Notamacropus eugenii: one gene and its partner. The protein of the gene in region 2 purifies or fractionates together with the protein of the main gene of each other region. This does not show direct contact. Links are inferred from orthologs where the notes say so. Each region holds a gene or a part of one and is shown on either strand. Other genes may lie near its edges.

What was found. The genes of interacting proteins can lie anywhere in the genome.
Region 1: the proteins of KCNQ1 (region 2) and NEDD4L purify together in Homo sapiens (affinity purification with western blotting, with the first as the bait; 3 studies listed by BioGRID). This does not show direct contact. The link is inferred for Notamacropus eugenii from reciprocal best matches to the Homo sapiens genes KCNQ1 and NEDD4L.

Annotation. Positions count from the first base shown.
Region 1 is NC_092875.1:431,905,900-431,913,721, forward strand, and holds the start of NEDD4L (E3 ubiquitin-protein ligase NEDD4-like), read right to left. Parts: upstream 3,099-7,822; 5' UTR 3,005-3,098; coding exon 1,814-3,004; intron 1-1,813. UniProt on the Homo sapiens protein: E3 ubiquitin-protein ligase that mediates the polyubiquitination of lysine and cysteine residues on target proteins and is thereby implicated in the regulation of various signaling pathways including autophagy, innate immunity or DNA repair.
Region 2 is NC_092873.1:25,399,589-25,406,996, reverse strand, and holds the start of KCNQ1 (potassium voltage-gated channel subfamily KQT member 1), read left to right. Parts: upstream 1-4,393; 5' UTR 4,394-4,506; coding exon 4,507-4,895; intron 4,896-7,408. UniProt on the Homo sapiens protein: Pore-forming subunit of the voltage-gated potassium (Kv) channel involved in the regulation of cardiomyocyte excitability and important in normal development and functions of myocardium, inner ear, stomach and colon.

The DNA.
Region 1 (7,822 bases), on a different chromosome or scaffold from region 2:
GGAGTGACCCAAGTGAAGCAGTGCACTGCAGACAGTGATTGTAAACAATGAAGGATTTGAACTCACACTGACACATTCATATCTGGGGATAATACTTCTAAAATGTCAGCAGCCTCCTAACCCTTTCTGTGGGATTATTCTACTACTTTATGAGGGATAGCCTTAGGCTAAAGCAATGATGAAACCCACAGCTGTTTACTGGAAAGGGGTTAAAGATATGTAAAAAAGGAAGGGAGTGGGGTGGACTGAGAGAGAAAAGAGCAAAGATGGGGAGTTGAATAAAGTCATCCAGGAGAAAGCATTTACTGCACCCTTGAAAAAGTGGCATAGTGAACTTAGTAGTAGAGCTGGGATATCAACCAGTCTAATAATTATTTATGAAGCTAATGTTACAGATCATCACAACTCCCACATAAAATAGAAAGTAAGCATCACCTATAGAGCAAAACAGTGCAAAACATATATATATATCTGCATGCATATGTATACACATATGTGTGTACATGGGTATACATACATGTATATATATACAGTGTTATGTGCGTACATACATATATACACACATACATACCATCAGAAACATAAGCTTTTTAGTAAAGTAAGGATGCTACATGATGCTCCAAGACAAAATAATACTAACAATAATGGAAAACACAGGGAATGAATTCTTTTAGAAAGCACTTAAATCTAGTGGTTATAAACAAAAGAAATCAATCTGATTCAAGTTTCCATATCACTTGCTCAGCCAGATAGAAAGTATGAGAGCTGCAGAGTCATCATATGGCTGGGTGAAGTAAGCAGCTGTCTTTCTGTGCTACATTTCACTGAAAGGGAGAGCCTAGGAGAAGAGGAACACACACAAGCAGCAAAGACCAGAGTCTGTGAGAGTGAGTCTGTTTTCACAGCTGGAGATAGGGCACTTACTATGCTATATACAGCATCACTGAGCCTGGAGTCTCAAGTGGGCAGTGTTAAATTGCACTGTAATGCAACCTGAGAATTAATGATTCCCCATAAAAGTTTTACCCATGCTTGGTCCAAAAAGTTATTTCGCTTCAAAAATAAGTAACATATCACATGTACTGCATCACTATTCATGTGGAGTACACTTCTTAATTAATCAAAGCAGACAAAAGTATCTGAACTAGACTGACTCCTAACACAGCAGAAAAGAACTTTGGGACATGTATTAATGTAAACATTTTAATTAGTTAAGACAAACTACGTCATTATTTCCCTATTTCCTAACACTTTCAAGCACAGATTACTTTTGATAAAAAGGCCCAGCACAGGATGAACCTGCAAATAGGTTCCTTATGGATTTTCCAACATTAGCACGTGTTCTTTGGCTAGGTTTGATTTTTGGCTTAAGTTTATTTTGGGGTGGGAGGGATGAAGTGAGAATGGACTTGCTTTTTGAGCACTGACAAAGGGAAATCATTATATTTCACCAAATTGAGAACATGGCTATATTTGCTTCAAACATAAAGTCAGCTAAGGGCCTTTGAAGATTTATAAGGAACAAAACTTTTTAACTGGTAAGTATTTTCTTGCAAAACATCAGTCAGTCTTATTATAACGTTATGATTCCAACCAAGTACTGGACCCACAGATACATATCAAGAACATAAGAGCAACATGACTTGAGGTTAGAAATTATAGGTAACCAGGTTCTTTGAATAGGAAAATTTCAAATGTTATAGAAGAAAGTTTCTTTTAGCTGTAATACAAAAAAAAAAAAATTCCCAATTTGAACCCATTATTTTTGTCTAATGTTCAAATAGGAACATGGCACATTCGATGGCCAACTTACCAGAGTGTTTGCTGCAGTAGAAGCAGGTGTGTCTGAACTATTCTCTTCAAGAGTCTGGTGAGGTTCTTCATGACCACGAGTAACAAGAATTCTAAAGTGTTGTTGTCGGGAATTCTGATCTTGCCTGATCTTAAAAGTGCAGCCCTTATTCTGTGGAATCCTTTCTATGGAGTTACTCCTTTGTATTTCAGGACAATTCCTCCCATTGTTAGGAGGTTCTGAATTCACCCTGTCTTCCATTGGGCTGACTCGTTCAGGTCGAGGTTGGACTGGATAGGAGGTACTCCTCTCTAGCCTTATTCTTGGATACCTGACCAACCTGTCCCCCTTTGTTCCAGTAAATCCAAAATTGAAATCACCACCAAGGCTTGGAGTGCTTGCTTGGGGTTGTTGCAACTGGAAAACAAAACACCTTTTCCCAGAACTAGCAGATACATCTGGCACATGTTGCAAAGACCAACGCCTGGGCTCAGGAGCAGAAGGGTTGTTCTGAACCTCTGATCCAAAGGGCAAGAGTCTAACCTGACGCATATCTGCGCTCGAAGCACGATGCTGAATTCTCACTCCAGTTATGTTGGAACCTGAAGCATTTTCATTGCCTTCTACACCCTGGGCAACTGAGGGGACAGCATCACCTTGGTTATCTGAAGGAACAGTACAAAACACTCTGTGACTGCAAGTATTATTAGATCCATTGACCTGTTGTCCTAAATCATTGACCAACCTTGGTGGAGAATTACTGGGGGATTCTCTTTCTGAAGTTTCTTGGGAGCTGCTTTGGGATGAAGAAGGTCTACTTACTGGTGCAGTAAAATTCTCCCTAAGGTCTGAAAATTTATAGGGAAGGTCCTCATCAAGAGAATCTGGTGCCCCGCACTCATCAGTATGTCCGTTCACAGCTTTGCGCTGCAGGGAGATTTGCACAGATGAGCTCCTTGTTGGACGGGCATCAATGTTATTCAGCAGCTGAGGGATAAACATGGATGTGCTTCGTTTGAGAGATCCAACTTCTTGTAGGCTACCGCCACCATACTCTGCTCCATTTTGAGAGAATGGGTGAGGACTGTTTCTCCTTGGCAAAGTGTGGAATGCCATAAAAAAGTCGTCTTCTCTCTCTCGATCTAGGATCTCTGATTCAGGGGCTGTGTTGCTTCGACCAGAGCCAAAATGAAACCGCAGCCGATGGGCCATGGTTTAACAGGAGGGCAGGAAAGGAAGGGAGACAACAATTCAAGCACTGCCAGAAGTTAAAAATCAAAGACATAAACTCCAAGAAAAATTGTCCCATCTGCCAAACTGTTAGCACTGCACCAACGATAGCGACAGATAGCAGAAATAACCCAAGTGGCAAGCTGCATTCCAGGCATGATTGGATAAGAGGAATCGGAGCTTCTGCACACTGGGACAGAGGGTAGGATGGTTAGAGCCACATGACCTTGTTCTCCCTCTCCAATGCCAGCTTCTGGACTTGGGCTGGTTTTTTTTTTTTTTTTTCTCCCTCTCCCTCTCCCTCTCCCTCTCTTTTAAACAGTAAGAGCCTGAAACAGCACCTTCCCAGCTGCTCTTTTTCCATCAGAAAGGCATTGCCCCAGCGGGCGAGCTCTCACAGCTGACTACAGCAGCAAACACTCTCAGGGCTACTATTAATCTAAATCACATCATATTCACAGGGCACTTCTGAACTAAGCAACACGCGCGCGCACGCTTCCACACATACACACGCACACGCACACGCACGCACACACACACGCGCACACACACAGCACACTCTCCCAAAACACAAAGTGCCTTCCATTAAAAAACAACCCCACATCTTCCCACATCCCCACCACCTCCTCAGAAAGACCAACTTAGAAAGTAGAAATAGGTCTCAGATTTTCACAAGCAGCACCTTTTGTTTGTTTGTTTGTTTTGCCGGGCTATGTATGACATCAACAGACTACTATGGTGGAATGCAAACTAGTAAAAACATACTATAAATATAATTACACACTGCCCAGAAGTAGCTCCCTTTAACGCTAAATAATTAGACTATGATCTACAAGGAAGAAAATATCTATGTGGGGGATGGGAGACAATTTAAAACACTGCTGGAGTTAATACTATGAATCTTGCCACTACCCTGAAACATTTTCTTTAACAGCTACCAATAGGAAAAAAAAGGTTACAAAGAGAATTCTCACCAGAGGAAAGTAAAAGAGCAATAAAAACGCAGCTTGAGAAAATATCGTCCCTCATACATGCCAGGTAGGAATGACTGAAGAAAATCCAAAAAGGTTGGTATATATATACAGATTTGTATTAATTTCATACAGATACCATGCAGAGGCAATGTTGCCCCAAATTAATGCAATTTGGATGCCCATATGGGATATTCTTATGCTTGTTAAGAGCCAAAATGCTTCACAAAATAGAAAGGTTTTAAAATTCATAGAAAGTCATCAATTTCATTCACTCCAAACAACACTTCTAAAAAGAATTATTTATGATTGTCTTTCATGTTAATTCTTTCTCACAGACCAGAAATAGCAATTGTATAGGTTGACCTGGAGTAGGAAAGGAATATAACCCAAATAAAAGGTCTAGACAAGGTTCTATTAAAATCCCAAAGTATAGTTTTGACGACAGATCTGGAATCATGGGTATAGTGTAGGGGGGTGGGTTTGGGCTGGGGGGGAGTCCAACACCATGTTTAGACATCCAAATCTGTTTTCTAGCAGCATGTTTCCAAATGCCAAGATGACCAATTATGAAAAAAATGGAATCTGGCTTGTTCAACACTAAAACTGCCAAGCACCAGCACAATCCCATATTGTCTTTAACAGGCCTCCGCGCCAACAAGAAAGAACACAGCTATTCGTCACACAGTAACAGTGCTGCAGACAGCTTGGTGCAAACCCAGGTGTTAGTATTATTAAACATAATTTTCAGAAAAAGCATTCTTTCTGCAGCAGTGCTTTGGCAAGCACGTCTTATGCATTTTAGACCCTTCTAACAAGGAATGCCTGAGGGGCAAGAGACAGAACACAAAAAATATCTTAAAGGTAGCATAGTTAAATAAAGAAATAAGGGAAATTCTTTTATTTTCATAGTGAAATCTTCTGGACTAGAAACTGTATGTTAAATGCAAAATTAATTTCAACCAAAAAAAAATCCTTTATTTCCTTTCTAGGTATTACGTCTCATTTAATTATCAAGATCTAGTATACTAAAGTTGGTTCTGTCTTCTCTTAAGGCACTATTTAATACAGTCTCTTCCATCTAACTTTTCCTCCCTATGTGCAAATAAAGCACAGAAAACAGCAACCCCCCATTCCAAAATAAACCCCCATCCATTTCTAAGAATAAGCGTATATAAATAACAGAATTTAGATCACTGACAATAAAAATATTAGCATTATTTATATGCTATATGACTATATATAATGTTTTTATAGATTTCCTAGTTCCTAATGTTTTGGAGGTAAAACGGTACATTCACTAACGCTGGACCCATATATATTTTAAAAGCTCCTGAGAGACATGAGAAAGTCTAACTTGTCTGAGATGATTTCTGGAATAACGTTAATCACTGAAGAAGACAAAATGAACATTATTTGATTGTCAAAATGACAGGGCAGGTGCATATCAATTTAAATACAAGAAAACAGCATGGTCAAGAAATACTGCCCCCAAGAACTAGAAGACTTAGGCTTAAATACTGCCTCTGTCTTTGACTAAAAAGCAGCGTGACCTGAGACAAAACCCTTTGCCAACTTGGTGGTCACCAACTCTATTTCTTCATCTGTCAAACAGGGGAGGGGAATGGGTGGACAGAAAGTTGCTTCTGTCTGGATCAATCTGTAAAACTTTATTCTGGTTTGAAAATCATAAGAAAGTACTAAACAATAAGAACCTACATTTTGGGGACAGTGAGTAGAGAAAGAGGGGAAGATAGAATAGTAGTAATAAGATGAGGAGGAGGAGTAATTAGCAGCAGTTGTAGTGGTAGTAGTAGTGGTAGGTAAGAGTAGTAGTAGTAGCAGCAGCAGTAGTAGCAGTTCCAATGGTAGCAGCAGCATTTTATAGTGCCTTCTTTGAGGTTTACCAAATGTTTAACAAATACTATCTCATTCTGTCCTTATAACATCCCTGGGAAGTGGGTGCTGTTATTATCCCCAGTTTCCAGATAAGGAAGTTGAAGCAGAGAGAGGTTAGGACATTGGAGGTGGAGAACGTGGGGCCTCAAGGTCGCATGTGGCCCTCTAGGTCCTCAAGTGCAGCCCTCTGACTGAATCCAAACTTCACAGAAGAAATTTCCTTAATAAAAGGATTTGTTCTGTAAAACTTGGACTCGGTCAAAAAGCCACACCCAAGTACTTAGACGGTCACATGTGGCCTTAAGGCCACAGGCTCCCCACCCTGGGTTGAGTAGTTTGCCCAAGGTCATACAGTTGGTTAGTTGCTGTGGTTAGATTTGAATCCTGGTAAACTGATTTTTCTGCTATATGATTGTGGAGATTGCTATAGATGATACAGACGTAATAATGATCTTTTTTTCCCCTTTTAATAAAGGGTCTGCTTAGCTGTATAATATATTTTCCTCATTTAAGCAAAATGAAGAAACAAAATCTCAAATTGAAAAGCTGATCCTCTTTTTGCATTTTTTTCCTAATGTTTATCTGTAGACTATTTTAATTAAGCATTCCAGATAGAAATTTTCCTTCTATACTTTGAAGACAACTAACCATCTTTTGGGGGCAGGTAGGCGGTGCGATGGAGTCCGGAAAGACTCACCTTCCTGAGTTCAAACCTGGCCTCAGATGCTTATTAGCTGTGCAACTGTGGGCAAGTCACTTAACCCTGTTTATTTTAGTTTGTAAAATGAGCTGGAGAAGGAAATGGCGAAGCACTCCAGTATCTCTGCCAAGGTAATGCCAAATGGGGTCACAAAGAGTTGGACATGACTAAAAAACCACTGAACAACAAAAAAACACTTTTTAAAAACTGTCATGAATTTTTTTTTCTCTCCTAGGACAATCCATCCCTCTTTTCAAGTTGTTAGATATATCTTGAACTACACTACCCAAAGAAAAGCCATGTGGACAAGTATACTTTGGGATTCCACAAAGTTAGTTTACGTATAATGAATAATCCTTACACAATTATATCACCATTCTGTGTACCAAATCTCAGCACGTAAAGAGTTTATGTGAGCATTAATGGGTTTTATTTTTACTTACTGGGAGAAAAAAACACACACATACACAAATATCCTTAATCTTCTCCTGCGCCATTACCACATAATTAGCACAAATATAGATGAGGAATATTTAAAATTTTTTAAATATCTGGATATTATTACATAAACTACTCTGACCCATACCATACATGTTAACATGAATGTAGATGGCTAGACAAAGTGTCATTGAAAGTTGCATGCATTGAGATTCAGAGTGATCTAGGTCCAAGTCTTTTCTCTGCACATACTATCTGTACGATGCAGACAAGTCACTTAATCTTTCGGTGAGCCAAACAATTATTTAAGATTATAAATTACAGATGAATTGACCGTTGGCTTTGGTGGATGAAGTTTCTATGTCAGGCAACTTTCTGCACTGATAAAATCAGAGATCCAGAACCAACAATTAAAAAAAAATTCTAAATACATATATACACATTATTCAAATTTACTTTTGTATACCACCAAAAAAAAAAGATGCAATTTTCACATTAAGATCATCGTTTGAGGAGAGGGATGGTGGAGAGTTGACGGTCGAAACTTACCAATCTGTTTTCATCAAATACTTCAAACAGAAGTCTATGATTGGACGGATTTACCTACAAGAAACACAAATGTCACCTTCAGTGACTCAAAAGTAAAGAGTTCAAAACAACAACCAAAAAATAGCCAAAAGATAAAACAAAATCTGGCAAAAACAATGATAAACTGGAGATGCATCTAACCACACGTGTCTACTGCGGCAAGCATCTAAAACAAATTTTTAATTTTCTGCCTGTTATGGACTT
Region 2 (7,408 bases):
ATAGTGTGCTTTGATCTGCATTCAGACTCCATAGTTCTTTCTCTGGATGTGGATAGCATTTTCCATTACGACTCTTTTGGAATTGTCTTAGATCACAGCATTGTTCAGATGAGTTAAGTCTTACAAAGTGGGTCACTGAGTAATGTGGCTGTTACTGTGTACAGTGTTCTCCTGGTTCTGTCCACTTCAATCAGCATTAGTTTGTGTAAGTCTTTCCAGGTTTTTTCTTAAATCTGCCTGCTCACCATTTCTTATGAAACAATAATATTCCCTCACAATCACATATCACAGCTTGTTCAGTCATTCCCCAATTGATGGGCATCCCCTCCATTTCCAATTCTTGGTCACCACAAAAAGAGTTGCTATAAATATTTTGGTATGTGTGGGTCCTTTCCAGATTCCCTTTGACTTGAGATTCCTGCTGGGAATGCCCCCCTCCTTCCCCTGGAGTCAGAACCACACTGCTGCTCTCTCAATCCACTTCCTAGGGCCTAGCATTACTTCTTAGCACACAGCAGAGGGTCACCTCTGGGTGTTGATCTCCTCCTCAGTCTACCTGTATCTGTAGGCTGGAATGGACAGTGGGTGACCTGTTTGTGCTCCAGGGTTACCCATGACCACTCTTGGCCAGATCTGACCCCCTGTGACTGAAGCCCTCTGTCCCCCAGCACCAATCTAGGTTGGACAAGTGGCTTCCTGTGACTTGTCCTTAGATTTCATCATCAGAATTGTGTCTGACCCTTCCTTCCTAGGGTAACGGTGGTTGAGACTCTTCTTCACTCAGCCTCAGTGTCCTCATCAGTTGATCAGTTGATGAGGAAAAGAGTTGAGCTTCCTACTTCACAAAGGGATTGTCATGAGATGGATTTGTGAACTGTCAGGAGAAAAGGGAATTGTCTATGAAGACAGAACACCTGTATTCTAATGCTGCCTCTTCTCTTAATCCCTATGGAAGCTGGGGCAAGTCACTTGGCCCTTCTGGGCCTCATTTTTCCTGTCTCTAAAATGGGACAGTTGGCCTCAAAGGTCTCCAAGGTCTTTGACTTTATGATTAACATTAATGAGTTATGGGGTGGGGGTGGGGGTTATTAGTTGTAGAGTGGCCAGCTGCAACTAGCAGAGTCAGAATTCCTCAGGCCTCCTGGGTACTCCTTCCCAGGCCAAGCATTCCCACTACTCAGTTCCTTGAGCATCTGGAGGACGATGGAAAGAGGCAGAGGCAGGAAAGGGCAGAGATTAGGTACAAATCAAGTCCTAACAGTTAGGGTTCCCAGAGGACCAGGTCAGGCTTCATGTACCTTTGAGAGTTCTGCGCATGAAGGGTCTGCTCCTCCAGAGGGAGTCCCAAACACAGCCTCCAGCCTGTGATCGAAGCCAAGAAGGCAAAGGGTCATTCATTGTTCCAAGCTCTCTCATTAATCGTTTCCTTTCCAATCACCTGCTTCCCAGATAGGTTGTTTGTTGGATATCTCTCTGCTCTACATTTCTCACAGCAAACATCCTCCCGAGCCTCACACTTGGGCCCTAGGGAGCTGGGAAATGCTATAGCCTGGAGATGAGGACGTCAGGGTTTGCAAATGGTAGGTCCATGGCAGTGTCCACTTGGGTGTGATTCATAGAATGTCCAAACAGAGAGGAGAAACCAGAACTTAGAATGGGATAACTGGGAGGGACCTTGGAGATCTCTGCCCACACACCTATCAGGCAGCGTGAGGGTCCTTCCAGATGGAGAGACTCTGGTGTTTTCCAGGGAAATCTAGTTTCTAGAATAGTCATCACAGTGAGCCTTTCTTCTGCTGTTCCAGAGTTCCACGATGTTGTTTCATTTGCTTCCTATAACACGTCTTTATTTGGAGTGGTAGAGGAGTATTGCCTTCACTTTACAAAGGTGTAAAGTGAGATCTAGAAAGGTAAAGTACCTGTATTTCCTCAGTGATTAACAAACTCCCTCCTGGTCATGCCCGAGAATGAAGGATGAACAATCCCCACCACCCTATCACAATGATTTTGATCCCATAGCTGTCATCATTCAAACCCATTTGAATGTCTCCTGAGATGGATCCTCCTTGGGATCATGCTCTTTATCCATAGGTGCCCCCATGGCTCTGTCTAGGGCCCTCTTCTCTTTTCCCTCTATTCTCCCTCCTTCACTTGGCGATCTCATCAGGCAATCATTGTCATTTAGTTACCATCTTTATGATAACTCTCAAATCAACTTATCCAGCCTCTTTCCTGACCCTTTTTCCATCTCCAGGTACCTACTGGTCATCTTGATCTGGATGTCTTGTAGATGTCTTCAGCTCAACATGTCCAAAACTGACCTCATGTTCTTTCCCCCCATCCTCTCCTTTCTGAGCTTACTGACCCACATCTTGGGATGGGGGATAGGAAGAGGCAGTACCTGGGCTGAGCCTTGAGAGAAGCTAGGGATTAAAAAATCTTTATCATATTTTGACCGATGCCTTTGTTTTTTACATCTCATTCATTTCTGAATATATCTCTTCCCTCTCTCCTACACAATGACCTTCTTTTGTAATCAATACTTTTTAAAAGGGAAATAGGTTCAGATGTTGTGGTCAACATTTTTCTTACAGGACCTGGGTTCAAATCCCCACTTGAGATACATACATCCTTAGTGACTTTGGGTAAGTCATTTGATATCCCTGGTCCTCAGTTTCCCCCTCTGTAAAATGAAGGAGTTTAACTTAATGGAACTTCATTCTGGCTTCACATGTATAAGTCCATGACCTGAAGAGAACTTTTTCTTCTGTGTATTCCAGGCACAGTTCTCTATGTGACACCCCCCACTTTCTCCATGTAACTTCAGGTCTTTGAGGAGGCCTGTCCACTCTCCAAATGGACTCCTATCCCAAGCTCCTACAGATCCATCCTTTGGCACCCCCAGCGTCCAAACATAGGCATTTGGATGGTAAAATGCCAGTGTCACAGGGAGGGGTGACTTTGGAAACTTTTCCCTCCCCCACAAATATTTGTGGCACCAACTCACTCCACCAGAGGGTTGAGGGCACAAAGAGGGGTTCTGAGCTCCTCCTACCCCACAGGGCCTGAGGGGTTTGTGATTTAGTTGGGAGCACCAGCAGGAGGCCTGCTCAGAAACTGAACCTAATACTAAGCCCCAAGGGATAGTGGAGTGGGACAGGTGCACCCAGGACAGATGCCACCAGAGGGCTTCCAGTAGGAAGGTCTAGGGAGAGCCAAAGACCTGAGCACACGTCTATGTGAGGGCAGGACTTCTGGGTCAGGGGACCTTGGGAGTCTGTGGGTAGAAAAGAGCCAGGAAGATAAGAGGGGAGGGCAGAGCAGAGATGCTCATTTCCAGTCAAGGCTCATCTGACTCAAGGGGCCCTCTAGTCTCTTATGGGGCATCTGCAAGAGCCCAAATTTAAACCCCTGCTCTTGGGCCCTGCTGCCTCCCCATCTCCTGAATAAAAGTGGGGTGTGAAATGTCCCTTCCAGGGCACTGATTTTGGAGGGAGACAGCCTGGTTTCAAACCCCGCCTTGGACACTTATTACTTGTGTGATGTAGGCCCCAGTTTCCTCTCGAACTAGCCTCTGAGGTTCTTTCCAGCCCTAAGCCTGTGATCCTCGATAGGACTAAAGCCAGGCCAGAAGGGAGGTAGACCTGGGCCCCAAGACCCTAAGAATACTCCCTCTGACCTTCTTTCTCCCTTCCCTCTTTGGGGGCTAAGTGGGATCGAAGCCGGAGGCTCGGAGGGAAAGGGACCGGGGCTAGGGCCTGCTTGGCCTGTGGCTGAAGACCACCAAGGAGGGAGCGGTGCTTGGGAAGAGCCAGTTCGGGGGCTGGCGCCTACTGGGGAAGGCTGGGCCTCCCGAAGGTCGAGATGGCCCCCAGGTTGGAGAGAGGCGGGTTCTTGATTTCTGTCACCCAGCCTCTGTAGATGCTTCCCACCTGCTGCCGCAACCAGTCGAAAGATCGGGGACCGGGCTTCTCACCGCCCCTGGGAGGGAACTGGGGGTCCGAGCAAAGAGGCTTGAGGGACTCAGGGGAGCCCATGGGTGGGGGCAAGGAGGCCAGGGGCCCACGAAGCAGGTGTCGCTGTTTGTGTGGGTACGTGTGCCCAGTGAGTGGGTAGGGGAGAGGGGCTTTGAGGATGGGGATTAAGGGTACCCGGGGAGGGCAGGGCAGGGTTCCAGGGGGCGCCCTTGGGCTACGGCTCGGGTCCCCCTCGGCGGGCTTGGGGAGGGGCGGGACAGGGAGCTGGGGGTGTATGGGTTACGGGCTCTTGGGTGAGAAGGGGCGGGGGAGGCAGCCCGAGCCCCGCCCCGGGCGGCGGGCATGGGCAGCTCCCGCCTCCCTGGCTCGGTCGGTGCCTCCCCTCGGGAGTGGGAGCCCAGTCTCCAGGGCAGCGGCCGTGGCGGCAGCGCTTGGCGCGGGGAGCTGGGAGCGCCGCTCTCCTTCCTACCTCCGTCCGTGCCCTCCGAGCCGCCGCCGTCCAGTGTCCCGCGGCTCCCGGGCCAGCCCCATGGCGTCCTCGGCCGGGTCCCCACCGCAGGCTGAGCGGCGGCGCTGGGGCTGGGGCCGTCGGGCCAGCGGGCCCCTGGGGCTCAGCCTCAGCCCCAAGGCTGCCTTCCCCTCGGAGCTGGCCGAGGTGACCCCGGCGGCCGGCGCGCTCTACGCGCCCATCCCTCCCCCGGCCGCAGCGCCCCCGGCCCCGCCGTCGTCCCGGGGCCCCCCGGCCCCGCCGTCGCTGTCACCGTCGCCATCACCGCCTGCCACGGTCAACCTGGACCCGCGCATGTCCGTCTACAGCGTGTGGCGCCCTCTGCTCGCCCGCAGCCACGTCCAGGGACGCGTCTACAATTTCCTCGAGAGACCCACGGGCTGGAAATGCTTTCTCTACCACTTTACTGTGTAAGTGTCTGCGCCGCGCCCTCTGCGTCCAGCCCCGACCGGGGACTGTCCCCAGGGACCGCTACCCTGGCCAGGCTCCTTCCTCACACCGCTGCCCACCGTGTGGGACCCTGGCAGCTGGGCTGTAGGCCTTTAGCCAGCGGTAACCCTCCCCCCACCCCCGCCTAGGGGGCGAAGCTGGCCAGCTCCAGAGGGCCCAGCACCTGCGGCCCACTGCTGGGCTGCCAGCCTCCTGGTGAGGGGCTATGAGGAGGGAGGGGAGCTCAAACTGGAGCCCCAGCTGGGTGAGCTTTCCCTGCTGTCCTGGAGCTAGTTCCCCAGCAGCCAGTCTGCCCAGGATGCCTTTACAAATGGCCAGGGAATAGTGGTTCTTGAAGGGGGTGGGGGTGGGACTGAAGAGAAGGAAGGGCTCTGATTGGACTGGTGTTGTCTCCCAGTCCCGTTTTGGGGTCTTGGACCTTCCTCTCTCTCTTTCAGTTTCCTGAAAAGTGGTCGTGGCCTTGACTAAGGACAGGGGAGAGGGAATTGGGCCTGGTTTCATTTGGGAGGGCAAGGAGTGAGCTGCCTGTCCATCCATTCACCTACCCATCCATCTAATCCTCCATTCTCTCCCTCCTGGTGGTGGTGTCCATTCCCTGACCCCTTGCTGGCCAGAGCAATCTTTTTTTCCTTATTGTCTGTTCTTGGGATTCTAAGGATATTCTGAGTATAGGTGAAAAGCCCAAGCCCCAGAGACACCTGCTCAGTAGGGAGAACAGAAAGCTCCCACTGAAATCACTTCAGGCAAATTCTCAGGAACATTACTCCCAGAGAGGGGCAGGGTTTCCTTGGAGAAGAAAACTGGGAGTAGAAAGGTTTCCAATGAAAGAGGAATCCATTTTCCTGTCAAGAGAGACTGCTGGCCAACCCACTGCTGTACCTACACCATAGTACTGAAGGGGTTTCTGTTCAGCACAGGTTGACTAAGCCCCTACTAGGTGCAAAGCCCTGGCTTGGGCTGGGGAGAGGTGAACAAAGCAACTCCGGCCTCCGGGGGGTTACTGAGTAAAAGCAAGAAAGGGGGTGAGCAAGATCAATGAACAAGCATTTATCAAGTGCCTACTGTATTCCAGGCACCATGCTAACACAAAACTGCCAAACAGTTCTGTTCTCAAGGAGCTTCTACTCAACTGGGAGAGACAAGAGATATAATTGGACCCTGGCAGATAAATATGGAGGAAGTGGAGGGTCACCTGAGAAAGGATAACCCTAGCAGCTAGGGTCTTCATGAAGGAGGTGGCACTTAGACAGATTCTCAAAAGAAGCCAGGGATTGTAGGAGGCAGAGTCAATAGGGAGAGCATTCCAGGCCTAGGGAACAGCCCAGACAAAGCTATGGAGAGAGTGGGTCAGCGCCGGTGAGGGGCCAGCCTGTCTTGATCATTGGTGTGGAGAAGGGAGAAAGGAAGGGGCCAGGTTGTAAAGGGCTTTGAATGGCATATAGAGTATTTTATATTGATTCTGGAGGTAATAGGGAGCCACTGGGAGTTCTTGAGAGTCTTCACATCATGTGGCTAGGTCTACACTTTAGAATTATCCCATTGACACCTGTGTTTGAGTTGGAAGGGTATTGCCATAGTCCAGGTAAGAGGGGACAAGGTGACCCTGTGAGTGGACAGAACAGGATGGATGTGAGAGATATTGTGGAGAAGGAAATTATAAGATTTGTCAGCAGAGCGAATAGGTAGGGATGAGAAAGAAGAGTCAAGAATGGCTGTGTGGTTGTGAAGCTGGTTGACTGGGAGGATGGCAGTGCCCTTGAGAGTGATGGTGAAATTTGATAGAGGGAAGGGTTGGGGGGAGAAGGTAATAAACTCAGTTTTGGATATGTTGATTTTGAGATAAGATGTCCCAGGGCAGTGGGTGATGAGGAACTCAGGAGAAAGGCAGGGTCTGCGGTATTCGTTTGTTGAGCAGGGAATTATTGATCACCTGGGATCTTATGAGCTCAGCCAAGAGGGAGAGAAGAGGGTCCAGGACAGATCCTGGGAGCACCCAGGGCTAGTGGGAGCAACCTGGAGGAAGATCCACCGAGAATCTAGTGGGTAACGTTGCTATGTGACATTCCATTCAGATTTGCAAAGCTTTTGACAAAGAACTCTGTGAATTTCATCCCCACTAGAGAAGATGAGGAAATTGCTGCTCAGAAAGGTTGAGGGACTGCCCGAAGTTACCTCCAGTTAAGTGTGAAAGGCAGGTTTGAACCCACACCCTTGACTCCAAGTTCAGCACAATGAGAAGTCAAATGAAGCAGCTGCCCTTTCTGCAGGGACTTACAGTCTTTTGGGGGGTCTTTGAGAAAGACACAGAGAAGTGCAAGAAAGAACACTTGCTACTCTCAGGAGGCTTCAGTCTGGGGGACATGAAAGATGGGCACTGAGACCACAAGCCCATCTAGGCTGGCCGCAAGATAGAATGTGCTGGTGAGACAAGCATCAATTCCAATGAGAGAAGGTGAGAGAGAGCCCCTTCCCA